Linked DNA regions of Arabidopsis thaliana. The protein of the gene in region 2 interacts with the protein of the main gene of each other region in a pairwise test. Each region holds a gene or a part of one and is shown on either strand. Other genes may lie near its edges. The genes, in order: AT1G19980, AUG2 and AT3G06530.

Region 1 (10,603 bases), on a different chromosome or scaffold from region 2:
AGCGTTTCTGCATTGGTACACAGGAGAAGGAATGGACGAAATGGAGTTTACGGAAGCTGAGAGCAATATGAATGATTTGGTCGCTGAATACCAACAGTACCAAGATGCTACTGCTGATGAGGAAGGTGAGTATGATGTTGAAGAAGAAGAGGAGGGAGATTATGAGACTTGATCCACCAAATCAAACATTTTACTTAAAAGACAAGGAAACGACTCTTGGAAATCTCTCTATTTAAATTTGATTGAAAAACATTGAAAAAATGGGAAATTTGTTTAAATGTGTTTTTTGTTTGAGTAATTTGTTCAAAGAAAGTTTGAAGTTTCCATTTATTTTGGGTGTCTTGTATTTTCCATTTGAGATAATACGTCCTTGCTTCTCAAGCTACTGTGTAGTATATAAATTTTACACTTCTCTCAATTGTCCCACATCGAGTAAATTAGTATAAAGGAAGCTAAACTTTTGCCTCTATAAATAAAGATACTTCATTTCCCACCGACTTTTACATTTGGGCTTCTTAAAAAATAGGCTTGACAATAAATGGCCTTTAACGCAAGGTCTTGTTGTTTTGCTAGTAGCAACGAGCGGGTTACTTGTAACTGCAATTGTCTGAAAGATCAGCCAGTGCCAAGGTACTTGTAATTACAAGTACAAAAAATTGATTTCTTTGAGTTCATGTTCATGTCGGATTTTTTCTAGTGTGGTCGGATGTGCAACAAAAAAATTGGCTGAATTTTGGAGTTTTAAGATCCAAAGATATGTGATTTTCGTTAAGGTTTTATTAAGAATGAAGCATTCGAAGGATCCGTTTGAAGCAGCAATGGAGGAGCAAGAGGAATCACCTGTTGAAACCGAGCAGACTCTTGAAGGAGATGAGAGAGCTGTGAAGAAATGTAAAACGTCCGTTGTTGCTGAAGCGAAGAACAAAGATGAAGTTGAGTTCACCAAAAACATAACTGGTGCTGATCCTGTGACTAGAGCCAACAAGATGCAGAAGATTTTATCACAATTTACAGAGGAACAAATGAGCAGATATGAATCTTTCAGAAGATCTGGTTTTAAGAAATCAGACATGGAGAAGTTGGTACAGAGAATCACAGGGGGTCCGAAGATGGACGACACTATGAACATCGTTGTGCGTGGTATCGCAAAGATGTTTGTTGGCGACCTTGTGGAAACAGCTCGAGTTGTTATGAGGGAAAGGAAGGAATCAGGACCTATTAGACCTTGCCATATCAGAGAGTCATATCGAAGACTAAAGCTCCAAGGAAAAGTGCCTCAAAGATCAGTTCAACGGCTTTTTCGCTAGTCAGAATGACGAGGTTACAAAGTAGTGACATGGACGAAGAGTAACTATCATGCTCTAAACCAAACGTGATTAAGTCTTTGCTTAATAACTAAAGAAGTACACGATAAGATCAGAAACAATTGGCCATCTCTCTCATTACTCTTAAAGAATTCACCTTTCAAGCATTCTACAAATTGACTCCCTAAGAAACGATTACAAATAACACAATGAGATTTCAGTCTTTTAATTCAACCTACTTGGCTCTAGCCTTTTTAGAGACTCTGCTAGCCAAAAAATCATCATCTGAGTCGTCATCATCAGAGTTCTTCTTCCTCTTCTTCGTGGTTGGTTTCGAATCATTTCCCTTCTTTTTGTTTGACAAAGCTTCAGATGGCGACTTTTGTACTTCCTTCTTCTTCACGGTCACTGATTTGGAGTTGCTTCTTGGAGTAGAAGCAGCAGATTTTACTGGAGAACTTAATTTTCCACCCTTTTGCAGTTTCTTCTCAAGAACTTTCTTTGCTTTTTCGGCTGGAAGCAATCCAGACTCCATCAACCTGTGATCAAAACCACAAAAGGGTTTTCAAATAAACAAAGCAATCTAAAAGCAAATATTACACATAACCATCACAGATCATATAATCAATGCTTTGAGTGACTGGTTTGAAAGGACTCCCCTTTCTTACATACAATGTGAGTCCAATTATGATGTTCAAAATTTATGCGAACTAGCTTAAACCGTGTCGCAAAACACAAGAGACCATCGAAAATCAAACGCAAGTATGCATCAAGTCCCAAAAGAATAATTTAAGGTGTAGGACTCAGTTTGCAGATTGAGTGATCAAACACAAATAATCAGATACATACCAAACACAAAACATTAAGTGTAAGTGTTTTAAAGTTGCAGAACAATGTAAGGCAGAGAAAGGAATAGAAGAGCTTACCAAATCTGAGCCATGTCGCTAGTGGGAATTTGTTTGTAAAGTGACTCGTAGAAAATCCTAAGTGGATCTCTCTGCAGAATTGCAAAATCAACAAAAGAAATTCTTCAGACGAATTCAACAACAAATCTAAAAAGCAGAGAAACAGAGCAGCAAAAAAATACCTCATCAGGCTGCTCTCTCTTCTGACCAGGCAAATCATATACTTTTCTTTCTCTCTTTTTCTTTACTTCTTCTTCTTTCTCTGGTTTCTTATTCTCCTATAAACAAAGAGAGAGACTCATAATCAAAACAATGCCTCATCAAATATTTTACCATCCTCAATATTTATACTCAAACAGAGAGAGAAAGAAATAAAAATCGAACCTTTGAGACACCAACAGAAGAATTCCTCTTAGAAACAGGCTTCTTCTCATCGTCTTTATCAATCTCTTCCTTCTTCTTCACTGGCTTAGCTCGAGACCCAGATACAGATGACTTGATAGGTTTGTTATCATCATCATCGTCATCGTTCTCTTCTTTCTTCAATTTCTTCGAACCAGCATTGTTACCGTTCGTGGGTTTCTTCTTCGCAAAGGAACTCAAGCTCTTATTGTCTTCCTCAGCCTCCTCTTTCATCTTCATAGCTTTCACATCCTCCGAAGGTGGCATCTTCTTCTACCAAATCAAAAAAAGTCGAAACCTTTGATGAAATTTTTGTGAGAGATTTGAGAAGAGAAACCGCTGTGTTCCTCCGTCAATTGTGCCCTAATCCAAAAATAAGAGGAGGCTTGGAGACGGCGTCGTTTAAACCCAAAAGCAAAATCATTCCACTGAACCGGACCGAAATTTAGCGGTTTAAAGAAGAAACCGGTTAAATACGAAACGTTTCTGCAATAAGCCATACTTGTTGTATACAGAATCGAAGTTGGATTTGAATTGGTGCGAAGCAGAAAGCTCACTTTCACACTCAGTGATTCGACATACAACACCAATACCAAGAAGCAAATGATCTTATTCAAAATATCAAATCCATACAAGAGGGAATTCTCAGCTATAAACAAAATAAAACCGGAAAAAAAATCTTCTTCAAAGCCGCTTGAAATCTTTGTTGCATTGGCAGATGTTCCGCCATTGCTGTTTTCTTCTTTGGTTAAGCTTCAAGACACAATAATACAGAGGAAATAAACACAGCTGCTAGATGCAATATGAGCTTCCTAAAGAAACTAATGTAAGAGTTATACTAGATGCTAATGGGTGTGGTCACTGGTCAGTTGCATGATATACATCAGGGGCTTGATCCTAAATACAAATAGGTTACATGCAGATTTCAATAACCTAAATTCTCTAATAATTTATATGGCTCCATTAGATGGAGACTTCAACTTGGGAAGCCTAAAAGTCGAAGTGAAGAGCTTTGGGACTTCTGAAACCGAGACCGGTGTCATGTTCTTCGCTCTTTTCCTCTTTGAGCTTTTGCTTACCTGATCAAAAGATTCAAAAGTTAATCAACATGTTTCTGCTGTAAGATGATCGAAATTAATTAAACAATGTATATAATCCTTCTGTTCTCTCGGCTCCTAAGAATTTAAAAACACACAGACCTCAAGCATATTCAAATCTATACCTTTTCATTTGTTGTTGATGCAGCAGACTTGTCTTTCTTAGTAGATATATGAGATCCCACCGTATTTCCATTGCTACGCTTTTCAAGTTTGGTGCATCGAGTTAAAACCGGTGTGAACCCACGAGACTTCTTTGCAGACTCTAGATCCCTTGTGAGTTTTGAGATTTCCTCATCTTTCTTAGTAGAATTGGTCTCCATTTCAGCCATCTTAGCCTTTAACCTTGAGATAGTCTCATCCTTCTCTTGATTAGATGACTGAAGCTGCTCTTGATAAGATATAAGACTGGAAATTTTCGTATTCGCTTGAACGATCTCATCATCTTTCCTCTTTAACTTATCAGTGAATTCACTCTCGATACATTTGAACTGATTCCACGCAAACCCGTTTTCTCGTAAAAGATCAGATACCTCACATTTCTTTTCAGAAGCAAGCTTCTCATACTCAAGTTTCAGTTTTCTGATTTTTGCTTCCAATGACTTAATAGCCGTACCTTCTGAATTGCCACTTACACTCTCCACCTGCACATTTTATATAAAACCAACAAGCATTGTATGAGATCCTAAAACAAGAAAACACAGAAGAGCTTACAAAAATTGAAACTTTCACTTACATTTGTATTCAGAGTGAGGAAATCAAACCAAGCCTTGAAGTCTTTTAACTCATCCAGCGAATGCTCTGCAGTTTCCAAATTGGTTTCATGAAGCTTCACATGTTGTAGAAAACGAAAGGAACAAACTTTATTATAATCTGTTACCAAATAAGCCACTCACCTAGTTTCAAATTGCAAAGAGAACGATCTTTCTCCTTTAAGCCACACAAGAGATTGCTTTTATAGGTCTCCAGTAACTGAAACATCTTAGTCGTTTCAATTTCTTTCATCATCTGAAAACAATTGAAAATTTCAGAGGAATTAAGAGCATTACACTTCAAAATTGTTTAGGAGAGAGCGAAACCCTAAAAAACCTAACTTTATCTGAAACAAGGAATCAAAAAGGGGGTTTTTACCAGAGAGAGTTGATCCTCGTAATTTCGAACATCAGAGAGCCAATTTTCGTTATTAGTCTTGATCTCACTTTCAAGAATCTTCTTGTCTTTGAGAAGCGACTCAAGCTGGTCCTGTTTCGTCTGTAAAATCTTGACCAAACTCTTGAAAATCGTTTCCCAGTTTTCCCGTTCCGACGAATCTCCAGAAACCGATTTCACAACCATCTCAAAAAACCCAAATTCGAATTACCAATTGAAGAAGCACACTTCACAGAAGAATTTTAAGAAGAAGAAGAAAAAAATTGTAGAGAGAGAGAGAGAGATTTTCTAGAGAGATATAAGACCGTTAGAAGAATTAGAAGTTGCAAGACCAGAAAAAAAAAAGAGAGATTCGGTGCATATAAAGTTTTAAAGCCACACGCGCTCTTCATTGGGCCGTTAATGGGCTCGTTCTTCACCACACGATCGATCACACGTGCCAAATTAGTTAAACTGGTTTTGTAAATTCTTTCGTTCAAACCAAACCGGTTTAGTGTAATAAATACGATAGATGCATCAGACAAGAAGAGACGAAGCCAAAGTTAACAAGAAACTATCAGTCTCTCACCTAACAGCTTCCACGTGTCTTCCTCGCGAAAGTAATGGCATTGCCATTGTATGGTTGCGTTAAGAATTCTACAGATCATTCATTCCCCAATTCAATACGAAGACGAAGTTGTGTGATAATCATTCATTAATCACACATTTGATCTGAGCGAGGGAGAGAGAGAAAGAGATCTTGTCCGAACGATGAAGGCGGAGAAGAATCCGATTCAGTCCGTAATGGCGTGGATTCGCCGGCAACCGCCAAAAGTAAAGGCTTTTCTTGGCGTGGTAACGGCAATGACGGTGCTTGTTCTCCTCAGGGTGATTGTTCATGAACACGACAATCTTTTCGTCGCTTCTGAGGCTGTACATGCCGTTGGTATCGCTGTTCTTATCTATAAGCTCACAAAGGAGAAGACTTGTGCTGGTATTAGGTTTTAAGAATGGCTTGATTAGATTTGATTCTCAAAGTATGTGATGGGCTAATTTGTTTCATTGATTTTGACATTTTGAAAATTGATGATTTAAAACAGGGATATCTCTCAAGACACAGGAGCTAACGGCTTTGTTTCTGGCTGTGAGATTGTATTGTAGCTTTGTAATGGAGTTTGATCTTCATACATTTCTTGATTCAGCTACTTTGGTGACCACTCTTTGGGTCGTTTATATGATCCGTTTCAAGCTTAGACCTACTTATATGGAAGATAAAGACAATTTTGCTATCTATTTCGTCGTAAGTTTACCAAACTCTTTGTTGATAGATTATGTTAAATGTGTTTTTGAGTGTTGAACTTGTGTAATAGAATAATGTATGAGTTCACAATTTCAACTTGGTTAGTTTATATCATAAAAAGAACTTTGGAACTTGTATATTGATTGTTGTTGAGAATCTTCATGGCGATGTAATGTTTGTTTTGAGAGCTTTACTCTGATTTGCTTCAGGTAATCCCATGTGCTGTTCTGTCTTTCTTCATTCATCCATCAACACGTCACCACATCATAAACAGGATTTCTTGGGCATTCTGTGTTTATCTTGAAGCTGTTTCAGTTCTTCCTCAATTAAGAGTCATGCAGAACACTAAGGTACTCGATACTACTGCGCTTTAAAGCCTTGAGCTTTTTGCTACCACAGTGCTGAGTCTGAATCTTTCTTGAATGTTATGTCTTTTTTCGCAGATTGTGGAACCATTCACTGCACATTACGTATTTGCTTTGGGAATTGCTAGGTTCTTGAGTTGTGCACACTGGATCCTTCAGGTTCTGGAGTTTTTATCCTTGTTAGGCTACACATATCTCCATATTGTAATGTTTCTAAAAATGATTTAAACGCTTGTAGGTGTTGGATACGCGAGGGCGGTTACTGACTGCATTAGGGTCTGGACTGTGGCCTGTAATGGTCCTCATCTCTGAAATAGTCCAAACCTTCATTCTTGCAGATTTCTGCTATTACTATGTTCAGAGGTAAAAAACGTTTGGTCCACGCCCATTATATAATCGCGATATTGTTGAAATGTTTTGAATGTCTAAAGATTTAGAATTTGTTCTGTTTTTGGGAACAGTTTAATGGGTGGACAGCTCGTTCTTCGACTCCCGTCTGGTGTGGTGTAAAAAGCTCTGCGAAAATGGAGTGCTTGAGCTTGTGGAGAGGTTTAATGATTAGGGATTTTGAGACACTCGTATGATTTAAAAGTTTTTGATAGCAAAGAAGCATTAATGTTAATTCAGATTTTAGTTGTGATGACGTTTTGACTCCACGATCATATGATTTGATACACAACGCTTACAGTTACAACTCTTGGTCTCTTGGAATGATAGTGGAAAGAACTAAACACAACCTGCTTCCTTTAAAATTGGTTGGAAACGGATCAACAAATATAAGTCTCGATGTTCTCTAACATTCATGGAAGACAACAATTGTGAGGTCCATTTTGGTTATTTGAACTCGAGATTTACTTTCAGGGAAACATGCAGAGACTGTGAATACAGATTAATAAGAGTTTGAGCTTAAGAGAAGAAAATTTTGAGTTATCTAGAAGAAGAAAAGACATGAGATCATTATTTTTCTTTGAAGTTTGACTAAACGTAAAAACGGTCGTGATCATGAGCAATCCGGTCTTCACTTTCTTGTTGAGACTTATTGAAAAAGTCTATACAATCTGAGATAGCTTCACTGTAGTGAGATTGTGAGGAGTAGTATGAATTACTGCACGATATCTTCGGCGTCTCTAGCCTATCACAACCATTGCCGAAGTCAGCGGTTTTGTGAGGACGTACGGTTGCGGAGGAGGAAGAAGGAAGCGCGAAGATGATCTTCATGAAAATTTTGCGGAATTTGGAGAAGAGCTTCATTGATGAAGATAAACCTATGAAGGTATTGTGATTATGATGATGGTCCAAGTAACGATGATGATTAAATGGTTCGTTTATATGAATGGTGAAGGAGTGCGAGTGTGTGTTAGGATGAGCTCTCTGAAATGGTTTTTGCATAGTTTGGTGTATATTATAAAGTCTCTTATAGCCTGTCTTGCATGTGTTTTGTTTGATTGTGATGCTCGTATTTATAGACTTATTTATACACATTGTAAGGGGTTGTTAGGAGCTTTTCATAATCTATATTTTCTTTACATAAATATTTGATATTGGGTTTTAAAATATTAAAATATTGATATTTGAAGGATTAATATAAACGTTAATGAAAAAAGCAAGTTGAGACTTGAGAGAATAAGTGAAGGTTGCATGTGAACAAATCATTTGTATGGGCTTCCTTTGTCTTCGGCAAAGTGACCTTTTTTGTGTATACGAAACTTGGATATAGATGAATATATGTAAGGATTAATCATGTAACATCTTCAGGATACATTAAATAAATTTATTATGATTACTTTGGTAGACCAACCAAGAAAGTACTGGACAAAAATCATATAGATTTAAAACAAAAATTTGTAAAGATTCAAGAGAAGGGAAAACTTTTACTATTTTAATTTGTAGAAAATTTAGAAGTAGCTTATGTTATCGCATGGATAATGCTGAATTTAATTTTAAGAGACCGACCTTCGTTGACAGTGACGAAACATGATGCCGAGAATTAATAAACGGTTAATCATTGGCTGATTATATATGTAATTAAGGCAAAACTAAAAGCCGAAGTACTAGTAAGTATAATTATTATATATGGTGTTGAAACTAAGTTGTGGTCCTGCAGCTTCAGATACATTGTGCACTTGGGTTTGACCTAGCTAGTTAATTAGTGACGAAGATTAAGGACCATTCCGTAGCAAAAAAAAAACTTATAAAAAAACTTATAAAAAAAATGAATATTGCCAAGAGAACAAAACAAGAGTTTGATTTAAAATTTGAGTATGTTTCTACAAACAAGAGCAGATGCTTTTGATGAAATGAGTAGAGGATGAGGGGTTTCTAATTATAAGTTATACTTGTTGGTACAATAACTTAAGACAGTTATGATTATGTCTTCTACTTTAAGATTAAACAACACCTGATAATCATAACTAAGTTCAATTACTTTATCATTTCTCTGAGTTTATTAAGACTAATTCTGTTTAATTATGTCGAATATTAAAATAAGACCAGTTCAATTGGTTTCAAGTTTTTGGTGTATAGAATAGTACATTCATGATTCATATATTAATAACTGGTTTTGTGATTTGTGATGAAATTAGCTAGAGACCCTCTGAGTCTGTTGATCTGCTCATATATAAATGACAACCCAAAATATATTTAATGGTCTATAAATTTATAACAAATTTGAGGTTGCTGTCTATTTAAGTCCGGATGGTGACACTAAACTACATATCCTATCATTTTATCTCATCAAGCATGAGGCCTATAGATAAGGGGAACATGAATTATTTAGTTGAATACTGGACTTGATTGTTGGATAGTATTATGTTGCAGTAATTTACGTGAGAAACGATTATATTGTACGATTTCAAAATGATGATTCATGTAGTTTATAGTCTGTGAGAATATAACTGGGGACGTATATGCAAATATTTGTTGAGGATGGATAAGAACAATTATTATGGATCACACACCATAAATATTTATTTTCTTTGAATTATTTTAAACTGATCATTTTATATAATATTGCACATTCTTTTCTGAAAATTTTAACCATGTTTATATTTCAGACGATACTTTAGCGTCAATTTGTCATAAGATTTTACTTTTAACATTATTTGTAAGCGATCTCACCTACTTGACTAACATTCATATTGCTAATGATATTTGCTATATACATCGATTCGAAGGAGAAACCCTAATTGTTTCTAGACCAAAAATAAAATACTATCACTTTTTGAGGGGGGTTTTCGGATTACAGAAGGTAAAAATATATATACTTCATATAATCTCATAACAATGACGATGGTGGTGGTCTAATATATTTCTTGCTTGTTATTTAGACACAGTTAACATGAAACGATGATCAAGCATAGTAATTACCACCACCATTTTTCACTACACATGATTTCTTAGGTGAAAAGAGAAAGAAAGAAGAAACTATTAATTGTTGGTGGAGTCGGATGAGATGCCGAGTACTCCAGCCCACACTTGCTTCCTCACCTTTGATCTCCTCGGCTGATTCCCAAAGGAGCCGCCGCTTCCACTGCCACTTCCACCACCTCCTCCGTTACAACCGCTACCGCCGGCAATTCCACCGACAGTCGTTGTTGAAGATTGGCCGCTAGGGTCGCTCATATTTTCTTGTGCTCGTGGTTGCTAAGAGTGAAGAGCGCTCATACAAAGAAAGGAGAAACTAAAAGGGGATAATTATAGTCGATCTCGAGAGAGACACGAGAAGGAATCTTTTGTCTACATCCACTCTCATTTTCAACAGTTTTCTAATAAAAAAAGTAATAAAATCTGTGCATTGGCATGGTAAATTGTAACGACCAATGAAATATGTAAAAACTATTCAAGTTGGTATCCCTTTAACTTATAATTGTGGTACTACAATAAGTTTTGGTATAATCTTATTGTCGAGGTGGGATCTAACGGTGGATATGATCAGAAACGCCATGTGTTACTTACTCACTAGTCACTAGTCACTACGAATATATGAATATCTTTTGCAACAACATTATTTATTTATTATGCAGCCGCCACACAATCAACCTACACCACTCACTGACTCACACCACCATTATTGAGGCCTTCACTCGTCAGCAAGACGCATGCA
Region 2 (11,289 bases):
GAGATGGGCAAAAGCACCAACTCTACCACATCACCAACAAGATTGCAACCAGACTCCATCACTATCCAAACCACTGAAACCAAGCTTGCCACTGTTTCCGCCAACGAATTCCATAACGGTAGGAGCAATTCAAGAATGTCTAAGAGAGGATTTACCAGAGGCATTATGCAAAAAGAAACAAATGACTGCATAGCACGTGCCATAGTCAGAGCCCACTTGACAGCTTTCTGGAAGTTGTGAAGAAACAACATCGTTCCCAAGTACTTTATTCGGGATACCATGTCCCATGTTTCAACCCAATCGAACAGTGGCCCACATAACCGAGATGCAGTAGCCTTCAGAACAGGGACATTTTTGTACAGGTCATAAAAACCAATCACAACAGTGATGACAGATATCATCACATATAATGCTCTGGCGAAATGGCACATCCAGGGTCGATAAAGATGACAGAAACCGGGATAAGACTGCAGAAACAAGACCCATGAAGGGAGACCAGCTTCAAGTAAAGTAAGCAATCGTATGTCAGCCATTATAACCTCTCGCAACTTGAAAGGGAGATCACGGTCACCACACCTAACAAGAACTAGTACATCCTTATACTGGGTTGCTTCAATGATGTTGTCACAATCAGGTACATGGCTTTCCCAGTGGTCTACCGAGTTATCTTTTCTTCTGGGTGTTTCCTCCATATAGTCAACTTCAACTCCGGTGCTGATTGCCTTAGTTACTCTTCTTCTCTTGTACGGTCCAGTCAGAGGCGGTGTGTGAGGCTCGTTTTCATCATAATTTGCAGCAGAATGATTAACGTTGAAGACACTTCTGGAGCAGCAAGGAGAATCATTTTCAACAGAAAGATTGTCATCGTCATCAGAGAGAGTAGTTTTTGAGAATTCCATTTCAGTGTCATGAAAAACCTCTCCTGCAAGAATTACAATACTGTAAGCTTATTTAAGCTAGAAGTCCACAAAGGTGCAACGTTAAAGCATGCCATAAGATGTATCACCACTATAGCAAAGTTGTTTGTTAAAAGGAATTTCAAAGTTAAATCAGAATAGATATTCTTTATGAAAAACTATAATACCTATAGTTGAGTCGAGATATTCCCTCAAGCAAGACTTTTCAGCTTTTGATCCAGAGAACCACTGAGACATGCTTTTCACAGCTTGATCGATACTCTCAAACTCCCACCTTCGCATCAACTTAGCTTCTATAGCAAGAGATGTGTCTGTCTACATAAAGATATAGATCAAGTAAGAAACAAGAATAACACACAATGTCAGACCAAAAAAAAAGTGGACAGTTGCAAGAAGTACCTGTAGCTCATTTAAGTAGTTGATACCCCTCACATTAGCCCATTCAATCTCAAACACGATGAAACCATACAAGGTCTTGTGCAGTTGCTTTTTCAGATACAAAGAGCTCTGCAGTTTCTTTGCAGGTAATTTCTTATTCGAAAAAGTTGTCGCATCTATCAATGAGAACCACTGCTTAAGCTTCTTCATTTTTTTATCGTCCGGCTGGGGCTGAGAACAAGCCTCTTTAGGCTTCTCTTCCTCCTCCTGCTTCGACTTTTTCTTCTCCCTGTCCTGATTCTGATTTTTCTTCTCCCCTCGAAGTTTCGTGTTTGCAAAAGGGGAGAGTCTGGACTGCAAACAAAGATAGATGTGTCACTTTACCATAATTTTTCACCTACACACCACAGAGAAATGTACTTGAAGCAGCTTTTACAACCTTTGTGACCATTAGTTGCCAAAAATGAGCAGATCTGGTGCCAGGATTCAACCATGGCCGGTTATCCACCAATATGTAAATCTTTTTACTTTTATTTCCCAGGAAAATACTGAGATCAGAAAGATATGATTGCAAGTCTCTGTAACCAACCAAAAAAACAAAGGTTAACCAGAAAAGCAGAGAACAATCAAGCAAATAAAGTGTGACAATGTAGTTAACTCTTAAAAAACACACGAAAGTATCATCAGATTAAGATCTCTGCTAAGAAAAAGTAGCCAACACGAGTGAGACTTTAAAATATCACATACGTAGAAGAAAATTTCAAGAAACTGGACAAGAGAATTGCTAGAACAAATATAATTCACTTCAGAGGGAAATGTTTAAGACATTAACACCAAAAACTGATTACTAGTTCAGATTCAGGAGAGGAACATAAGCCTGGAATCAAGATAATGAAAGAAACACAAATAAGTGATAGCTTTAATTGCAGAACTTAGATAATAAATTGTCAAAACCACAAAAACAGATCTTGTTTTGTCTGGAAAGACAACATAGTTTTCCAATTAAAGGCTCAACAAGCTTGTACTTCATTCAAAAACAGGTCACGTAATTAACTGCAGAATCATTGATCCTGTGAATCATAACTTATAAAAAAAAAAAAAAGCGGCAATGCAGATCAAATAGATAGATAAAATTACCCGATCTGGAGACTCGTCAAGGGGAAAACACATTTAGATTCATCAGCAATCCCCATCTAAATCCCAATTTTGCACTCTAATTTCCAATTAACCTCAAAATCACTGAAAAATCGAAAGACGTAATTCCAGATTATTCGTCATTATCATCATACTCCACAACAAATTCTCAACAGAGATTACAAGAGCTTAGCCTTGAGAGAAAGAGGTCATGAAGCTATTGCCGACGAGTTTTATACAAATTAATGGTAGTTAGTTGGTAAAATGACATAAATAAATTTAGGAACAAATTTGTAAAATTGTGTGATTACTTAATAGAAAAGGAAACTCTAAAACCTAAAGAAAAAGGAAATTCAAATCGTATAGAATCGAATCAACACCGCCCGCCGGCGAACAAAAACAGCCGGAGAAATTTGAAATCACACGGCGAGAAATGGATCAGAGAAAAAATTAAAAGCACCATTAATGTAGCAACAATAACAACCACAAATCAAAACCAGAGGTTTAGGTTTATCACCAGAGAATCAATAAATCCGGAATTTGAAATTTGAGAGATAGAGAGAGAGAGAGAATTTGGGTTTACTTGGAATGGAAGAAGAGAAGAATATTTCCAAAGAAGACGTCTCAGGGAAAGAGAAGGGTAAAATGGTAAATTTGAAAGCCGAAGAAGACGGAGGAATGAGATTGCGTAGTTGTGATGGCGCCAGGGTCTCGTCGGTTTTTAATCTTCACCGGAGCACGTTGAAGAGAAGCTCTGCTTATGGATTGGAAGATATATAAACGCGTGGGATAAGGTCCTTCTTTGGCAGGCGCGTGTAGTTTCCTATTTTCTTCAAATTACATAATGGTCCTTTGAGACTTGATGTCTTCTGAAAAGCCGCAAACTAATAATGCATCTTTATTCAATGAGCACTAAAATGGTATTTTCTCGCATCATGAAAAATTGATATTATCTGTAACATATTTGCATGATTGTCAAATATTTTTGAGACTGTTAGATTTAGATTTTGTTGTTTAGATTAGAATATGTTTTGTAGATTCGATTCTTTTGTATAATTTGTCAAATGTCTTACAGAAAATGAACAAGAAATAATGAATTGTAAACAACAAAATAAAAATAAAAATCAAAAATGAAGCAATAAATCAAGAATTTAAGACATGAAAATAGGTGTCGAGAGTGGGAAATGGACGCATGGACAATGAATTGACATTTGACATTAAAGTTATGCTTTGAAAAGTGTATCATCGACATTTAAAGTTGCGAGAAATACGAATATTCATCGCCTGCGTCGGTACATTAATCGCTTGCACATATTTATTCGTTTCATTTAATTGCACGCATCCGAAATTTAATATATACTTGAAATGTGAGAAATTAAATAATCTCAATTTGTGTGTCTGGAAAATGTGTAATAATGAGTATAATCGCTAAACCGAATAAACCAGAGGTTGGTCTGATATTTTGGTTATATGAAAGAGTCAATTTAAAAGGACACGCGTTCGGGCGCGTAAGGATAAGGAGTGGGCCAGGAACAAATCAAAATTTGGACGTATGTGATCGATTCTGTTTCGAATACAAAAACCACGGAAATATATAGATAGAGCTCGTGGGTGGGTCCTTAACGCCGCTTTATTAATTTTAGCTACGTAATTATTGAGTAACCAACGCAAGTGATGTCTCTCAGTTAATCTATATAAACCTATATATGATGCATTATTGCAATTTCACGTTACATGCATTATATCAATACTCTAACAACAAAAGTGTGTTCCATTTTAATATGAATATTGAGATCGATCATCCAGATTCAACTACTTATTTGATTTCATGTAATAATTTTCCATCAGATAACTTTGAATAGTTGAATATAATAGTCTTTCATGTACTGTATATCATTTAGAAATGTTGGCCATGGATTGGCAGTGAACCTATGCAATCTAATCTGATATGAATTTTATATATAAGTGGTATTTTTTTTATTGCAAACACTTTTGTGGTTCGTTTTATAGTTTTAAATAGTGATGAGTTTTACAGTTTAAATATCATGTAAATGATATATGAGGTTTTATTGTCCAATTTACACAAACTACTTTTAAGACCAGACCGGGCTATGTAACTAGGTGGCTAAAATATGATTAGGTGCCACCGGTTCTCAATTAAAGTTGTCTTAAATTCATGGTCTACTCTCTACAGTCTACATACTACAATATTTAGACCATACGAGTTATTTAGTGGAACGATTGTGCCTATGAATGCTAATCCTTTTTTTATAGACCCCTCTTTAGATTTCTCGACTAAAACAATTCCCACATCTATGAAATATTTTAATTTTGCGGTAGTTTTGCCGCGGTCTGCCGCAGCCGCAAGCGGCGAACAAACGAACAGACTAAAATATGATAGTCACATGGACCATGAAAACCAGTGTTAACAAAATATACACTGTTTTAAGTTTCACTCAAAGACTATCAAATAGAAATAAGTAAATCCATAAAGAACACTAATGCTGATGAAACAAAACACGATCGATATTAAAAAGCTCAAGCAAAGACAAAAGCAACTGTTTAAACGCTACTCTTTTTTACAGAAGGAGGCCAAGATAGTCTCCGGTTCCCATTGTTATTACCATCTTCTTCTTCTTCTTCTTCTTCTTCTTCTTCATTTTGATCATTGTTTTGTCTCCTTGTTTTATGAACAGCTAAATCGTCGAAGCTTGACTCTATCCTCCCTTGAGGTGGAGTCACACAATCTGAGTCTCTATGTGTCATTTCGTTACCTCCTGGTGTTGTTGGTAAAGAAACTGCAGAGTTACCAACTCGAAGCTCTTGAAGAGTCGCGAATGATTCTCTCATCGCAGACATGGCCTCAAAGAATCTCGTGCATGACGCTAGTGCCACAGGTATTGGACGCAGCATTTCCTATAATTTTGTTGGGGAAAAAAAGAGTAGAGAGATTGAGATTATAGCATGTAAAACCGAAATCAACAACTGTTATGCAACACATTACGTAAAAGTAGCAATCTCCTTCTCTCTTGATGCAAAGAGTTTAAACACATAGAAATCTAATTCAAGGACCTGATGACACAACTGATCCTTCTGCAATGTATTCTATACAGTTAACGCATGGCGTAGTGTAATACAGTGCTTTCCTCTTACACTATGAACAATGTATTAGATTCCAACTGAAATGAGTAATCCAATGTATGCAACTAAACATGTGGAGTTATGTCTGAAAGTCAAAGATGTAAATGGAAAAAAAATCAAGATGCATGTAAAAGAGAGTAAAATCGTACCCCCCAGACTGAAGGAGGTTCTTTAAAGTTTTGGCTCCACTGAAAATCAGACACGGATGCTGTTAAGGCGCCATAATCACTGGCGGCTTTCATTAGCAACTCTGAGAATTGTTTCTGAAAAACAAAGCAGAACAAAGCCATTAAACATAGCATCTTCGTTTTCCAGTTGTGCAACTTCAGATACTAAATAAGGTCCTCAAAGTTGCAAATAGTATAAAATGGCATGAATCACCTGATATTCTGCTTCAACTGGAATGCAATCTAGCGAATAAGGTTGTTGGAGACGAGCAATGATGCGATCCTGTTATATAAACAGACAAATGATGTAATAAACTTCAACTAGAGGGTCACAAATTGACTAAAAGATAAGGCAGTCTTAAGACGTACTCAGAAGCTAATGTTTCGAAAACATCTTAAGGAATTTTCTCAATTTTCAGAACGATAGTGAATAAGAGGGATATCGCTTAAAGACAGAAAAGAGAGATAAATGAACTCGAAAGATACATAAACCTTAGTCCAGAAAAAAAAGAGAGAGAAGATTTTAGAGGTAAGTAGAAAGGAAAAATGATCCTACCTTGTTTTGTATAACATCTTTCAATATTTGAGTAATCCTTGACAAAGTCTCGATTTTCTTTTGCATTTCACCAACATGAGTCAAATGCGCCACATTTTTATCATCCTGAAATTCGCCAACAAAAGAAGTTATATACAAAGCATCTAACAAAAGTTGTTACATGAGATATACCAATAAGTTATCATAAGGCTTCAGGCAATGCAAATACTATGATCCATATCTTATTTCAATTTGAAAAAGAAACCAAAACCATGAGAAAGATACCTTCCTCCCTTGAAGCTCGACCTGCAAGTCTGCAATTTTCCTTTGAACAACAGATAACTCTCTCAATACCCTTATCAAATCATCACCTCTTTCCCCATTCGAAGACGCAAAGCTTTGTAATTCTTCCTACATCGGAAAATGATTGAGCCAATTGAAGAGATAACTAACCATAAATATTCTCTACTTGATGAAAAATTCAGATTCAGTATATAAAAGCCAAGAGATCAAAGATCTAATCAAAACATATGGTCCAGAGATTCGCAAAACTAACAAGCAGCTAAAATTCCTCATTCCTCAGAAACATAATCTCCTTCAAATTATAGATCTCTCATACGCATTGTTCTGCAAAGTCAATCTAATAGCATACAACCCAAAGCATATGCTATACTCAAGCTAATGGAACTAACCGGAGACGCAATTCCGATTCGGATGAGATTAAAGTGAACAAGAGAAGTTACCTGCGACGGAGGAGGAGCGACGGCGAAACCGAGATCGGAGGCGATAGAGAGAGCATCAGATAATCCACCGATGCGTCTGATCGGCTTCTTCCCAACCCACGTCGTGTCGCCTCCCATCGACATCTTTCGACGAGCTTTCCGGAGATTAATTCGACGGTGGCGGATCCAGATTGTTATATATAAAACCAAATTCAAAAATATTCAAAAACTTTTCGTCATGCCATTAAACTCTTTTCTTTTTTTCCTACTTCAGTAATTTATACTTTACTTTTGTATATGTAAAATTGTAAGTCATCCAACAACTTCACAAAAATACATCTGAAGAAGAACCGAAGACCAAAATGGGCTTAGCCCAGAAATATGCTGAAGATAGCCCAACATGCTATTACGGACGGTCGAGAAATATGGACACTGAGATCTGCTACGTGACGGAACGAAAGCAACCCGACAAAAACCAACCAATGTAATAGAAACTAGTGGTTTGTATTAGTATTGTTGATATGCCATTATGAAAAAATGTTGTTGAATAACGAGAATTTAAATATATTTGTATTTAGAAATTATAACATCAATATATGGTAACCTTGATATGGATAAAAAAAAAAAAAAAAAAATGTTTGGTGTTTTTCAATTAGTCTTTCCCTTTTTCATTTCTTTGTACAATACATAAAGCTTTTTACGAGTTATATATTAAGTTTCTTTTTTATATATATAAAGAAATCATGAGCTGAGCTGTATATAAATTCTTAGCTTATTTCTAAATTAATAAAGCTTGAATCTTTCTTAAGATTGTTTTTAATAAGATTGCTCTGAGAAGCTTCTAGCTTATGGCACGTTTATTAATTGTAAAGTCGAAACAATGTGAGACCGTCGGTGGGAGATTTATGAAATATGGAACGTCTAGAAGCAAAAAAACATATTTTGATCTAATAAAAAGTTCTTCACTTTATACTAAAAGACTCTTTAATATCAAAGATTTGACAGATCTGGTTATTAACATATTTATTAACTAAAAACATTGGGATTTGATTGTTACATTTATTTATTTTATACCTTGCATTTAATATTCTGCATTATTATGGATCGCCAATTTTTTTATTCTGCATGGATTTAAGAGAGAGAGGGAGAGAAAACAAAACCCATGCATAGAAATTTCATCGACCGACTCTTGTCATATGAATCTAAAATAATTATCAAGAAAAATAAACACATCAAATCTGCTTAAATAAACAAGAATTTAAGTTTTCCCAAATGAAATTAAACCATCCTTTCCCAAATGAAAGTTTGAACTCAGCACCAACAACAAGCAAAATTCAATCCTTCTCGTACTCACCAAATAAGCTAGACATATGGGGTTAATAAAGTTTATTCGCAGCTCATTTGGTTCCTTTATGATATTATACTCAAGCTAAGTAATGGGTTCGATTCCCATCTTCTCATTTCTTTATCAAAAAACAAGTAATAAAGTTCCTTAAATATTGTCTTAAAATACTATCGTAGTAACTAGTAAGGTGGAATATATAGTGTAACTTTGGAGCTTGAGGTCGTCGGTGATGTGCTGGTACGAAGAGACACGTGGCGCTCAATCATTTGAAAATAATTTAGTTTTTTTCTTTCTTTTGGAATATGGGAACCACCAACGACAACATTATTAATTCCATAGATTCGGAGTTAATTGAGCGGGTTGCACGAACCACACCACACACCAGATGCCGAATAAAATTTTATGCATAAGCTAAGCGAATAATCAATGCATAGTTAAACTTTATAAGACTGATATTTAACGACTGGATTATCACAACTAAGAGGCGTTTTATTTGTTTTAAACATTTTAATTAAGTTATTAATGGTTTGCGACTCAAGACGATAGGAAACGACCATCTTTTTCTACTCATGAATATTTGAAAGAATATTGTTCTTGCGACAACTGATCAAGCTACTATCTTTGAAAAGAACGTTCTTCTGCCAGTCTACTGAAGAATAACTCAAAAAATGCACTTGGGGCTCACTGATTTTTAACAACATTTCTTTTTATATACATCCTTTGAAAGAAAACTGAATCGTAGCAAAAACTAGACTAGGAAACTGAAAAAAAAAAAAAAAAAAATTAAGAGGAAGACTAGGAAAACTGAAAAAGAAAGCTTTATTAAACCAGCATGCAACACAACTTAATCATATGAATTACTTTGTTTTTTTCCACATTAGTTGCCGTCTGATTAATTTAACACATTTGAAACTATAGTCATCTTTTTGAAGAAAAAGTTCACTAATAAAAACAGAGAAAATCCATTTAAAAAAAAAAGACATTTTAAAAGAATATCGAGTAGGATTTTTAATGTAAACTTTATATAAATTTTATAATATAACATCAAATCGAAACTAATTTTAAAAACTAACTTTATTTTATAAAAGATACAGTATAATGAAAGTGTATAAACGAATTTTGTTGTGGATCAACATGAAAATTAATTAGTTTGTCAACAGCTATTCATATAGTTAAATGATACAAGTAATGATAAACAAATAAACGCATGTTCCCCGTTAACAATTTTTACGTCTCCATGCTTAGTGGCGCTAATCACCTTTTTGGTTCGCTCAAGTCAAATTATTTTGACCAAGTTGTCGGTCGAGCTAGCTCGAAGGTAACAAATAGTTAGGCCCACTTTGAAAATGTCGGTGCTCGGAAAAAAGATAAACCGCTAAATTAAACCGGTCATCATGAAACTCCGGAAACCTGAATTACTGCCAAATTTATGGTTGTAGGCACTGCACACGTGTAGGTGTCTCTTAGTCCCCATTGTCATACCCCTCAGTTTTTATTGGTGGTGGGCAAACTTATATTAAGATGACCCAGGTCCATCTTTCAAACCCATTTAGATCCATCCTATATTTTTGAATGTTTGGTGTTTTTGCTTTAGATATCAATAGAGGTGAATAAATTAGTATTCATACTCTGCAGATTTGAGTTTAACATTTGTGATAGTTTTTGTAAACTTTATAATTTGTAACAGTGAACCCAGCCAAAACCAAAGTTTTGATTTGAGAAATTAGCCTTACTATTCACGATTCTCTCGCCTAACACAGCAGCCTTAACGACAGAAACAGAAACGAATCTCTGCCTAGCAATGACATTCTACGGTTCCGAAAATTTATTAGTATTAATTGGACCGTTTCATGGAAACTTGAAATAATTAAGAGAAACTAATTAAGAGACAAAATCGTCCACTTTAACTGTTACACTATCAACAACTGACACTCTCCTTCTACTTTTCAAAATTACACAAGATCGCTAAATACATTGAAATTATCACCACCTTTTGAAACAAAAATTGAAATCATTAGGAAAAGTATCATAAAACACCCTCTCACACAGTACAAATGTAAAATTTCAACAATTGTAAATAGTATGTAAAATGACTTTACTACATGCACTTTTAATTAATTCGGTCTAGATTTAGCACAGTAAAAGCAATAACTAGCTGCATAAATTACGGCCATTACCACTATATGGAAAAAGCAAAAGTCTCCACATTTTCTCATGTGGAAATATTTTAGATTAAAAACAAAAGTTAACCATAAAAACAAAGTCACGTCATCTCTCTCCTCCACCACTCCACAGAGCTTTCAAATATATCCCTCTCCTGCGAGAGCAGAGAAATAGAGAGAGACTAGTGAGTGAGAGAGTCCATCGCTTTCTTTCTTTCTCTCTCTCGCTCTCTCTTCATCTCCAACAGAGACTTCTTTCTAGAGAAAGAGATCTTCACAAATATGACTGTGATGAATCACCGACACAAGCAATGTCATTTTCTCCTCCTCCTTCTGATCACTGTCTTCTCTGCCGCGTTGGATGGTGTTTCTTCCGAGACAGACGTCGGAGGGTTTGACTACGGTGAAGCATTGTCTAAAAGCTTACTCTACTTTGAAGCTCAGAGATCAGGAAGACTTCCGTACAACCAGCGCGTGACTTGGCGTGATCACTCTGGTCTCACCGATGGTCTTGAACAAGGGGTTTGTTTTCTGTTCAAAACTCTTGTCATTTTATTTTTTAATTAATTTTATTTTTGAATTCAAACTAATTCAGTTTACTATCATTAGTTTGAATTTTAATAAGAGAATTGAAATTTATTGTTTGTATTAATTTATAAATAATACATAAATTTATTGTAGATTTCCATTTAAAGAAATTATTTTCTTTGGTTTGGAATGAGACTTGAAAACCTTTTGTGAATTAAGTATTGAAATTAATTATTTGTTTTATTTTGTGATGTGACTTT
Region 3 (11,324 bases), on a different chromosome or scaffold from region 2:
ACAGATAGAAGAGCGGTAGAGGAAACACACCTTCCCATAAGCAGGTAGGTCTTCCGCACACAATAAAATGACCGAAAGAATGTTTTCTTTTGTGGATTGATCAAACCTGAAGTTGAAAAATAAGGAAAAGGTGACATAGTGCATGAGAATATAAAATTCAAGTATTGGGCAAATGGATTGACAGAACTCTTAGTCGGATGCAAGTTTTATCACAGTTTTGAATTACTGTTATCTACGATGTTCTTTTGCACTTTTTATAGTGGTGTCACTAGACACAACTATTTGAGGAAAAATAAAAGTTTCATCTGATTAGTTTTCGTACAAGAAACACAGCTGAGTACCTTTTTTGCAGGCCAACTGGCACTAGAAGGTCATTAGTGGTTGAACTGAGCAACGATGTCAAGTACGATGCGAAAAACTTATTGTCTGACAATATAAGCCTCCTTTGTTGCACGATCATTCCCAAAAGTTCATCAAAAGAACTACCGTAGATTGCAGCACTCCCTAGTTTTGAATTTCAGAATATAAATAAAAAACAAGTTACAAAAAACATGACATCTCATACCAAACTAAGATTACCATTTTTTTTGCTAGATTCGACACGACACCGAAGGTTGAAGAGTGCCTCGATACAATTAATGGCAGCTGCTTTAACGTCCTACAGAGTGAATGTAACGAGATCAAAACGAATACCGAAGAAAAGGAAGATAATGCAAAAAGTTTAACCATAAAAAGAAAGAAAATTTCAAATGTCACCTGATTATCACTTGACATGGGAACCAAAAGTACAGGAAAGCTTGAAAAAACTTGAATCAACCATTCATTATTCCCGCTAGAGCAAAGATACGAAAAACATCTGAGACTTTCAATTTGGACAAGAGGAGGAACATCTGCAAGAAGAAGACTGCAGCATAAGAAAACAGGATACGAAATAAACAGAAACAGTTACCAGATAATAGATTCCACGAGCCTTAACAGCATAAAACAGACGAGAGAATTATCAACTAATAAAAAGTGGGATCAGTAGTTTATAACATCAATTATAAACTAGCAGGAAATATAAATTTCCATGCAAACCTTCTCGTGAGATCAGTCGGGATAGAAACAAAACAGGACAGACTTTGGCTTCTCTCACACGGAAATGAAGGTGTTCCTTGAAGACATGCCGCAACCGAGTTGTTGCAAAAAAGAAAAACAAATCCTCAAGTCCGCTAGATAACCTTTTGTTCAAAACCTAAACAAAGGTGAAGTGACACAAATACAGTTGTGAGCATTGCAATTGGTTGGGTAGAAAAAATTTCAATATAACCAAATATAACGAGATCATGGTTGAGCATCACCCACCGAAGCATCGTGGGCAGGTTCAAGTTTAATGAATGACTCGCCCAACTTCCAAAACAAGCATATCAGAACCTTCGAATTCAGAGCAGTAAAATCAGAGGTATCAAGGAGTTGATATAGGAGTTCTTGGCAGTTGCTTTTCGACAGCTGCAAGTAATACACAAATATATCAACTAACAAGATAATATATGTATCAACCATCAGATGAAAATATTACATCAGCTGGTAGAATTCTATACCTCTTTCAGAGAAACATCAACCTCGACCTCAAGTTCTTCCCACTCAGTCTTCAAAACAGGAAAGCAAAGTTCGAAAAGATCCAAAAGTTGACTAGGGTCTAAATCAAAGGAAAACACAGCCATCAGCATCATATCGTGGTTAAAATCATGTAAGACCAAGTTTTCTACGGTGCTTAGAAATGAAAAAAAAGACTTTAACATCAGCATGTATGTTAACGCAGTACTATGGACAGAAGCTTACCAGATGAAGAATTCATCTTCTGCAGGGAATGCATCAAAATCATATAAAACAGTGTCTTTGACAAGGTGGAATCTCGGCAACTGACAGTAAGCCACTGAATATAATCAGCAGGGTGCATCATAAATGCTTCCACCAGCTTGTTAATGACATCTATGTTCAATGCGGACACACTTTCACGGATCAGTAGTCCCTTCTGATATGAAATAACCATTTATAAAATCTCAGAAACAACGAATAATAGTATACCAAGTATGTGAAGACAAGAAATAGGTTAAAATATTGAAATAGCAATGCGGACTTGGAAGTTTTTTTTACGAAAACAGTATAGTAATGACAAACCTGCAACTTGTTACGATCCTGTTCTGAACATTTGATATTGCTGCATGTTTCCAAAACTTCAGAGAGCTTATAGTTGCACGCTCTCTCAATAAGCTCAATCCTACGCTCATCAGGATCCAAGGAGAGTGCTTCTCCCAAATCGTTAATAATATCCATGCTAATTGAGGATAAGTTTGTAGACATGATATCGGGGAGCTTTTTCTGCAACAATTTTTCTTTTTCAGATGACATGATAATAATATTCAACAACCATTAAAAGATTTGTGATTGCGACTTGGAGTATTGAAGGATAGTAAAATCGTAAACTCATATTTACCATTCCATCATCAGCAGCAAGATTCTTGAAAAGTGGCCAGTTAACATCCTTTCCCAACTTTAGCACAAGTAGATTTAAATTCCACGTCTATTAAAAGACATGATTACAGCAATTAGTAGAAGTAACAAGACTTTCGCCATAGCTGTAGAAAATGAAGAGAACAAGAAAGAACCTTCGGCTGAATTAAGAGAAATGGGAACATTGCAGAGGTAACTTTCTCAGTAGAGTCTGTTTGATTACCGAAGCTTGAGACAGCAATTTTAAGAGACAAAGCAACAACATCAACTGCCAGTTGAACATTATGTGATACTCCTGCAACAAGAATGGATAGTGCGAGGTAAACTAACTGAACATATGAAAATTCCACACTTGAAACAAGTTAAGAAAAGAACAGAGCATCTTTATTCACCTGATACGAGAATGCCAACACATCGTTTCACCACATGAAGCAAAGCATCCAGAAGACCAGAAGAGGTTATTATATTGGGCAACTTATCGAAAGAGAGGGCAGCCTGAACAACAGCCAGATCATCATCCCAAAGCTGACGCAGTATAGCATCCTGAATTGTGACAAGGTTCTGGATGGAGAGGGTAAAAAAGATATTGAAGAACAGTAAGATGACATGAAGTCAAAGTAAAGAAACAAAAAATACTTGGAATGAGTACCCCACACATACCTCTGCTTTAGAGCTATCATCCTTGAGAACACCATTTAGACTAGAAAGCGCGGCACAACGTACAGCAGCCTATTATTTATAAGAAGCCCTCAGTCTTGCGCAAAAAGTAAATAAAAAATTTTATTCACATAACTAAGATTAGAGGTTATAGTACCCTGGGATGGTGGAGCCGGAACCACAATTTTGAATCCACAAACGGGTGAGACATGTCTGAATTCCCATCCAGCATACAAGACAACATCTCTAGCTTTAAATCCTCTTTCTTCGACTGAACTTCAGTAGCCTGCAACAAGAAGTCGATGACTCAGAAGACCATATAACAAACACAAAGGAAAATAACTAAATGAGAGTTGGAGCACAGACCTCTAAAAATTTAGGAACTGCGGCACGTAGTTCAGCAGGATACTTCTTGCTTACAACAACCAGAAATTTCTTGGCCCAGCTTCCTACAACTAAATTGCAACAATATTGGTTATATAAAGAGGAATCTGAAAAAGAATCTTCAAAAATGAACACCCAAAACTCAATGACATAAGTAGTTGACATATCACTAACCAGATGTAGAAGATCTAAAATCACTGTTCTTCTGGTATTGTGTCATACATAAAGAGAAAACCTTGGAGATCAAATGATCAACCAAATTGCTTACGGGAACAGTCTCAATTATTGAAGCTAAAACTTCGCAGCATTTATCATCAGACGAACTGCAACAAGATGACAGTAAATCACACATGAATACTAACAAAATAAATCCATCCGCTTGAAAATGACAAAACAGTGTTTGATATACACCTGTAAAAAAGTAAAGAATCCAGTAGCACTGCCAGGAATCTTTTGATGTTGAACTCTTTGGACAAGCCTAAAAGAACACCAGAAATATCTCTGCACAAAATTGAAGCCATCGTTGAAAAAATACTAGTAATAGTTACAATTAAAAAAAGCTTCAGAAGGAAGACTGTTCATATTCAGATACCTTATTTCGTTAAAAAGATCCAATGCTTTCCTTGGGATCAAGTCCACAGATTGCAGCTGTAGTTGATTCAGAAAATTAATTGTTTAAAACAATCAACACCAACCACTTGTGAGCAGAATCCTCAGTGAGGAATAGAAAATATGTCCACCTCATACTTAGAAGTTTATACATTCGTGATATCGAAAATTAAAATGTAAGAAGTTCATGATGACAGAAAGTTATTGCACCTGAACAAAATTGATCAAGGCCATAAGTGACAATCGAAGCGAATGCGGGTCAGAAGATTCCTTGGCATGTTCACGACCAATGTCGATGATGGACCTCATCAAGCGCTTGATAAGATTAGTATTTAGCACAGCTCTGTTTGCCAACATGCCAACAACCATTAACGCTCCAGCCTAGAACCATATAAAGTTTGTCATAAAAGGCACATCAACTGAATAACAAAATCAATTAGAGAAAAATATTTGGTAAGAAAACCACTAAAAAACCTGTTGATCTAAACATCCTTTCACACCAGATTGAAGACCAGAGTCCACAAATGGCAAAATCGTCTTTACAATATCTCCATCAACAGTTGGAACTGAACCGAGCACCCCAACAACAACTGCGGTGGAGAAGCTAACCACAGGTTTTGAAGGCTGATACTTCTTAGTACGAGATGCCTACAATGTAACCAAGATTTCAGATGTTCAGTTTGATGTAGCCATTCAAAAACCAGTTTATAGGGAAAAAAAATATTAACAGCTACTTACATAGTCACACAAGGCCTCCAAAACTTGTTTATCACGTATACATTGCTGAACGATAACCGATCTAGGAGGTGGAGCACCTGAATTTTTAACACCATCCAGAAATTTCCACTTGGAATTTCTGTAAAGCAAATGAGAACCAGGGTTTACTAATCGATATGATAAATTGTGAGACTTCACTTCGAAATCGAAAGTGAAAGATATATACTCACCCAGTAGAAAGCAGTTGAACAATGCGGACAAAGGCATGTGTGTCATGGTATGGCAAGGCGCATAGAACCACATCTTCCAAGTTGTATATATGAATCCTGAAATATAGAGCAATTAGGACAATTCGATGAACGAACAAAGGCAAATATACATAACCAATAGTGATAAGGAAACACATACTTGTATCGTCGTATGAGATACTCAAGGGTCTCCAAGGAAGCACGAAATTGAAGATAACCAGAGAGTAAACGTAGATACGAACTGATTGATGAATCAATCCGAGCATTTTCTTCTTTACCCAGCAATTCCCTATCAATTTCTTTACTTTTATGACTAAACAAGTCGTTCATGTAATTTTTAAACCTCTCATCTTTGTTTCCAAGTACTTCTAGACCTGAATTAACAAAAATAATTAACGATGAGAATTTAATTTATCATTGAGCTTGTTCATTAGAATTGCATAATAGGAGAAGAGAACATACCTTTGAGCCCGAGCTCGTAAATTGATTCGATATCGAAATCAGCTGCTTCTTTAGGACTGAAGAGAATCGAAGGGCGTGTGAAAGGTCTCTTGGAAGGCTCTGTATCGGCTTGTAACACTGACTTGAGAGCCTGTAACTGTGACACTATTGAAGAACTCATACTCGCTATTGGGATAAGATTATTCTTCAGAGGAAATTCGAAGAATAAGTTTGAGGTAGAGAGAGATAGAGAGATAGAGAGCGGCGTTGAGGGAGAAGAAGAGAAAGAAGAAGAAGAAGCGGGTTTAGGGTTTAACGATCCTTTTATTTTTAATCTGGAAGATATAGTAATATAAAGAAACAAGGAAACCCCTGAGTTATAATGGAATTGCGTTTTAAACCATGACCTATTTTTTTGTTTTTCGAATTTAAACCCCAATAGTTTTACAACTTGATAATAAAGCCCATCTCTAATCTGCCGCTACTATTACAAAACTGTGCGTTTTAATTCCTCAATCGAGAAAGTCTTGAAACAAGTGTAAGAAAGTCAAGATACAATCACTGTTCACATCACATTTGCCAAGATTAACAAACCCATCTATCCAAGAATTTCAGTAAAATGGAAGTGAGAACAGAGAACAAAAAAGAAACTTAACACCTGACCTCTTTCATTAGAAGTTAAATATTATATTATACGCAGACAATTAACGACATCATCAACTTCAAACATATGTTCATAAACAAAAAATGTACTATAAACAAGTCATTTTCCTTATCCTCTTCATTAATAGTTGTAACCGTTAGCCAACTTCTTCTCATCCTTATACACGACTCCATTTTCCGTTTCTCCACACTTGGCAAGGCCTAAGGTCATTGTAAGCAAACTCCAAACTCTCATCAGTCGTTTGGAAGTAGACACCATATCTCGTTTTGTTGTTGTTTATCTTATATACTCGACCAGACCACCATCCTTCATTGTACCAAGCATCCACAAGTTCATACAATTCATATCGATACCCCTTTGGAATCAGTGGAGGAGGAGGAGGTCTTATATCTGAACCTCTTGCTTCTTCCTTCAACAACTCTCTTTCATCGTCTGTTTTTAGTGTTTGATACTCCACTGTGTATCTGTTTTCGCCCAAGTAACTTACGATCTTTGCAGAGAACCATGAGGCTTCGTAACCTGGTTCGTCGCTTCTAACTTCCACCTCCATTCCATTGTTAAACACCTTCTCTGCTCTCTCACAAGATTTCAGCTTCTTCAATGGAGGTTTGTAACATTCTTCCGGCACATCAGTCAATACCTTGGAAGGAATGACCCATTGTCCATTGATCCAATCTTTGTGGGGCCTTAAGTTGAAATTTAAGATTGTCGTTTCTTCACCAGTTGAGATGATAAAAACTGAATACTTATTAGAACCTCCTCCTAGGACTTTGGAAACCCTACTGGTCCACCACCGTTTGTTGAACCAAGCATCAACTATAACCCCTGGTTCATAGCACACAACAGGCGAGAGTTCTGAAGGAGGAACTGGTCTTATGTCCTTGGCTTCTACCACATCTCTCAGAGGGATCGACTCACCATCATCTCTACTAAATTTCAAGTGTTCAACAATGTACTTATCATCACCTAATAAACAAAGTATACGAGCACAATACCAAGAACCCTTGTAAGCTTTTTCTTCACTTCTGACTTCGACAAGAGCTCCCTTCTCATATTGATCTCTTCTCTTGATTTTTATCTTCAGTTTAATTCTTTGGGCTGTCGATTCCGAGAAATTGCTCTGTAAATCAAAAAAGCAGTGTGAGTTTATTATGCCAAATTCCAACAAATCTTCAAATTCAAATTGCTTGACATACAGTATATATAGTATAATTAAGTCTTTTTTCTAAATTTACAATTTTTTTTTTTTTTTTTTTTTTTTTTTTTTTTTGGTTTTACTAAATTTACAATTAATTCGTCAAATCTTTCAATGTATCTTAATCCCTAAAACATTAAATTCACTATTTTTCTACAAACCCTAGATTCAATTCAAACGCAGAGAAATGTTTTACCTGTTGGAGAAGAGAAGGAACCCACCCACCATCTAGCCATTCACGATGAAGCCTCAAATTGAACTGATCAACCTCTATTTCTGGACGATTTTCCCCTTTAAACTCCACAATGTACCTTGAATCTTCAAGTACGGTCGTAACATTGCCTCTAACCCAGCAACCTTCGCTATCTCTGAAGACATCGACCTCATCGTCAGCTTTGAACCGTCTGTTGAGTTCACGCGGTGGAGATGGACGGAGGCGCGTGGGAGTGACGTACTCCTTCATACGTACGGAAACGGAACCTCCAACAGTTAGGGATTCATGCTCCACCCAAACGAGTTTCTTTCTCACCGAAGGCGCGCTAACAACACTCGCCGGAAAATATGCCGTCGCGCCAGAAACTAGTCGTTCCACCTCAACGCGGTCACCGCCGCGCCAAAATCGATCGCTCGTCATCAGTAAACAATTTGTGCAACCCAACGAGAAAATAGGGATAGGAGTAAGACTGAAGATGATGAAATTTCCAGAGACCTTGATTCAACAGAAGAAAATCAGAGAAGAGTGAGAGCTATTATATATAGAGAAAGAGACAGTGGCGACACAAGCATGCTTATATTATGAGTCGGTCAAGATAGGTCAATGCCGAAAAAAGGAAAACACCAAAACAGCACCTCGTTTCTAATTTATGTAATACAACGTCCTGTTGTTTTTCTTTATCCTTCAGATCACAACGCGAGGTGTTTTTTGTGTTTTGTTCACGTGTCAAAATAAGAGCCGTTGATCTGGGACTACCGTGGATCTCAAGTCTAGTAAATCACTCATGGACATTAAAATGGGCCTAGCCTACCTCATCCTAAAATTTTGCTCCAGAGAAGTCGTGTAGTTTTTCCACCTTTCCTTTTTATACAAATAGCTGAATGCTTGCCGTTTCCAAGTTCCAACCAGGGTAAGGTATCAAGCTGAACAAAAACCGGACATTGGGTCGGTTAAACTTACTATTAATTGGTCCAACCAAATGTCGTTGGTTAAAGTCCCGAGGCGTATGTAAAAAACAAAGCACCTCATCCGAACATCATGCCGTTTTGCCTTTATTTAAACATTAACAACAAAACGGTGAATCGTCTCTAATGGCGCCAAAGGCCCAAAGGTTTGGCAAATCATACAGGGAAATGAGTTTGTACACTCGGATTTCTTCTACCTCTTTCTCTAGTCAAAGGGTGAGGCTAAAGCAGGATGTAGAACAAGCCCAGCATCATCGGTGTGCTTGATCTTAACTTTTCTTATCCTCTTTTTCATGATAAGCGGCCATATGAGAAGGGTTCGAGCCACGCGACTCAACGGGTCTTGAAGACCATCCATTTGGTAGTGACCAAACCGCCAGTCGCGGTCAACAAACGGTCTCCATTGAGGCTTGTCGAGACCATCTTTTAAACAAACAAAACAAAGCCTTGGAAGTAAGATTATATAAAGTAAAAGTTGGAAAAACAAAAAAAAAATACGCAAGGTTGGAAGTTGTAAACCAACCTGCGTACATAAGATTATGATTATCAACGCCTCGGTAGAATGGCCGTAGTTTTCCTGCTTTGGCAGCTTTTTGGAGTTCGTTCCATGCAAGAGACCGATCTTTCCGAGTGACTTTTCCACTTTTAACTATCTGGAAAGAGCAAGGAAAACACAAAAGCCATATGAGACGAACAGCGATCTGGTGATCTCAACTCTCAAGCGTAGTAAAAACCACAAGGGGTTATAATAAACCTTGGAAAAGAGATGGTATGATTGCCGAAGAGTTCGGGCAAGATCATGGGATCGGTCAACCGCAACAAGTCCAAATTTTGGACCATATCCATCAGCCCATTCCCAATTGTCCGAAATAGTCCAGAATATGTAACCGAGCACAGGAACACCCTGTTGTGAAAGCCACAAACACAAGTGAGAGATATGCCAATACGTAGGGTTGTTATGGCGACCCAAAGCCAGCCCAGCCCTGCAACGGATGACCTTTTTGAGTCTAAGCCCGTCACATGCTGGATGAGCCAGGTACCCGCCATTTTGCCTTAATGGGTCCAGGATGGCCCGTGGACTAAAATCATGGCTGGATTTTGAGGTCTAGATGAGGTTTTAACAGACCAGGCTCATCACAACAATGCTACCAAATTTCAATAGTTAAGCTGGAAATAACGTTTTGCATGATTCAGAGAGTTTCAGGGACAAAGACCTTTAGCATTGCAGCATATAAGGCAAGGAGATGCTCGATCAGGTAAGGTCGTCGAATCACATCTGTTTCATCAGACACGCCATTTTCTGTGACGATAAAAGGAACTTTCAGGTGTTTGTATCTCTCGTGGAACATCAACAACACGCGGTAGAGACCATCAGGATATACCCCTCTTCCCGATTCACTGTATTCATCAGTCTCTACAAGCTTTAGTCCAGCACCACACACTGCTTCCTGATTTCTCGAGTCAGATTCCAACATACTTATTCGAGAGAAAGCAATATTATTAATCAAAATTTGAGACCTAATAGCAATTTTTACTTGTAGCTCTCTTACCTGTCCGTAGTAGTTGATGCCTATGAAATCCAACTTCTCACAAATGCTATCGATATATGGAAATATAGTGAGGGAATTACTAATGGTAACAGCCCCGATATCAAAGAGCCCATATGGTCGCATAAAGGAGACGTGGTGCGCAACCCCTACCAAAGGTTTTTTCAAAGAACTGCAAAATAAGAGTTGGAAACTATTAAGATGTGCTAGTGAGAGAAATTCATAGGATTTTTTTTTAAGAAAAAGGAGAAAAACTAACATTTTCCCATGGATGTAGTCATAGGCCTTTGAGTGAGCAACAGCCATCCAGTGTAAGGCTCGATGGAATACACCCATTGGTAGAGTAGATGTAGCTATCTCCAGAAAATCAGGGTTGTTACCGGGCCAAGATCCACACATGTAGGTAAGCATGGTGAAGATATGGGGTTCATTAAATGTTACCCAAGAGTCTACCAAATCATACATGGAATCCACAACAATCCTGGCATGTTATAGAAAGATGATTAAGACCTACAGAATGTCCATAAATAGCTCATTTGATGAGACAGTCACCTGGTAAAGTCCATAAAGTAGTCGACTGTCTTCTCCATTTTCCAGCCACCATAGTCAGCTGCCCATGGTGGCAATGAATGATGAAACAGCGTTAGCATCACCTTCATTCCATTTGAACGAACTTTTTTAAGTATCCATTTATAGTGTTCGACAGCCTCATAGTTAACCTACAAAGCATAACAATAGAAATACAAAGTTTTAGCAAAAAATGGCAAAACAAAAGAAAATGCATTGACACATATAGTATATGTAAAACATAACGTGTCATAATATTTTCTTGACTCACTGCTTCCTTAATTCCTTTGGTGGGCTCAACTGGCATGATCCTAGACCAATCGACTCCCATCCTAAAGACAGTAACGCCAGTATCTTTGGCTAGCTTCACTTCTTTGTCAGGATCTGACCAAAATTTAAGCCTGTCCTCCCTGAAACAAATTGAACTTTGAGCTGTCGACACTAATGTTTACTATACATGCATCAACAATCTTGGTGAAACTGATGTTAGAAATCTCACGCGTGAGGAGCGTTATGCCACGCGGCAACATTTTTAGAGGGTGGCTTATCAGCTGCATTCTTATCTTCTTTGCCATGAGTGTTCTTGGCCAAGCCTTTGGTTATAGCTCCCACAGCAAGCTTAA

Evidence for each region.
Region 1: the proteins of AUG2 (region 2) and AT1G19980 interact in a two-hybrid assay, tested with the Arabidopsis thaliana proteins (one large-scale study listed by BioGRID).
Region 3: the proteins of AUG2 (region 2) and AT3G06530 interact in a two-hybrid assay, tested with the Arabidopsis thaliana proteins (one large-scale study listed by BioGRID).

The regions. Positions count from the first base shown.
Region 1 is NC_003070.9:6,927,602-6,938,204, reverse strand, and holds AT1G19980 (cytomatrix protein-like protein), read right to left. Parts: upstream 5,191-10,603; 5' UTR 5,044-5,190; coding exon 4,840-5,043; intron 4,717-4,839; coding exon 4,605-4,716; intron 4,510-4,604; coding exon 4,445-4,509; intron 4,353-4,444; coding exon 3,834-4,352; intron 3,691-3,833; coding exon 3,562-3,690; 3' UTR 3,152-3,561; downstream 1-3,151. Other genes in the region: TUB5 (tubulin beta-5 chain), read left to right, coding at 1-172; TAF11b (TBP-associated factor 11B), read left to right, coding at 539-630, 785-1,307; AT1G19990 (nucleolin), read right to left, coding at 1,540-1,843, 2,231-2,301, 2,392-2,487, 2,594-2,878; AT1G19970 (ER lumen protein retaining receptor family protein), read left to right, coding at 5,608-5,830, 5,937-6,136, 6,346-6,486, 6,580-6,660, 6,740-6,864, 6,963-7,011; AT1G19960 (transcription factor), read right to left, coding at 9,928-10,122.
Region 2 is NC_003071.7:13,992,578-14,003,866, forward strand, and holds AUG2 (HAUS augmin-like complex subunit), read right to left. Parts: upstream 7,373-11,289; 5' UTR 7,139-7,372; coding exon 7,016-7,138; intron 6,684-7,015; coding exon 6,558-6,683; intron 6,399-6,557; coding exon 6,294-6,398; intron 6,021-6,293; coding exon 5,952-6,020; intron 5,834-5,951; coding exon 5,720-5,833; intron 5,346-5,719; coding exon 4,992-5,345; 3' UTR 4,748-4,991; downstream 1-4,747. Other genes in the region: AT2G32970 (G1/S-specific cyclin-E protein), read right to left, coding at 1-922, 1,085-1,232, 1,317-1,649, 1,735-1,873, 2,433-2,488; GH9B8 (glycosyl hydrolase 9B8), read left to right, coding at 10,784-11,023. UniProt on the Arabidopsis thaliana protein: Contributes to the assembly of the acentrosomal spindle and phragmoplast microtubule arrays as part of the augmin complex.
Region 3 is NC_003074.8:2,017,002-2,028,325, reverse strand, and holds the start of AT3G06530 (ARM repeat superfamily protein), read right to left. Parts: upstream 5,867-11,324; 5' UTR 5,731-5,866; coding exon 5,571-5,730; intron 5,483-5,570; coding exon 5,269-5,482; intron 5,187-5,268; coding exon 5,091-5,186; intron 5,000-5,090; coding exon 4,882-4,999; intron 4,792-4,881; coding exon 4,618-4,791; intron 4,525-4,617; coding exon 4,354-4,524; intron 4,183-4,353; coding exon 4,127-4,182; intron 4,036-4,126; coding exon 3,946-4,035; intron 3,858-3,945; coding exon 3,709-3,857; intron 3,606-3,708; coding exon 3,517-3,605; intron 3,437-3,516; coding exon 3,308-3,436; intron 3,223-3,307; coding exon 3,154-3,222; intron 3,055-3,153; coding exon 2,886-3,054; intron 2,789-2,885; coding exon 2,649-2,788; intron 2,564-2,648; coding exon 2,477-2,563; intron 2,362-2,476; coding exon 2,161-2,361; intron 2,015-2,160; coding exon 1,822-2,014; coding exon of another isoform or gene 1,805-1,821; intron 1,679-1,804; coding exon 1,581-1,678; intron 1,489-1,580; coding exon 1,345-1,488; and 11 more. Other genes in the region: AT3G06520 (agenet domain-containing protein), read right to left, coding at 6,371-7,333, 7,605-8,042; SFR2 (Glycosyl hydrolase superfamily protein), read right to left, coding at 8,793-9,010, 9,111-9,240, 9,342-9,491, 9,802-10,306, 10,394-10,615, 10,687-10,853, 10,973-11,111, 11,201-11,324. UniProt on the Arabidopsis thaliana protein: Involved in nucleolar processing of pre-18S ribosomal RNA. Involved in ribosome biosynthesis.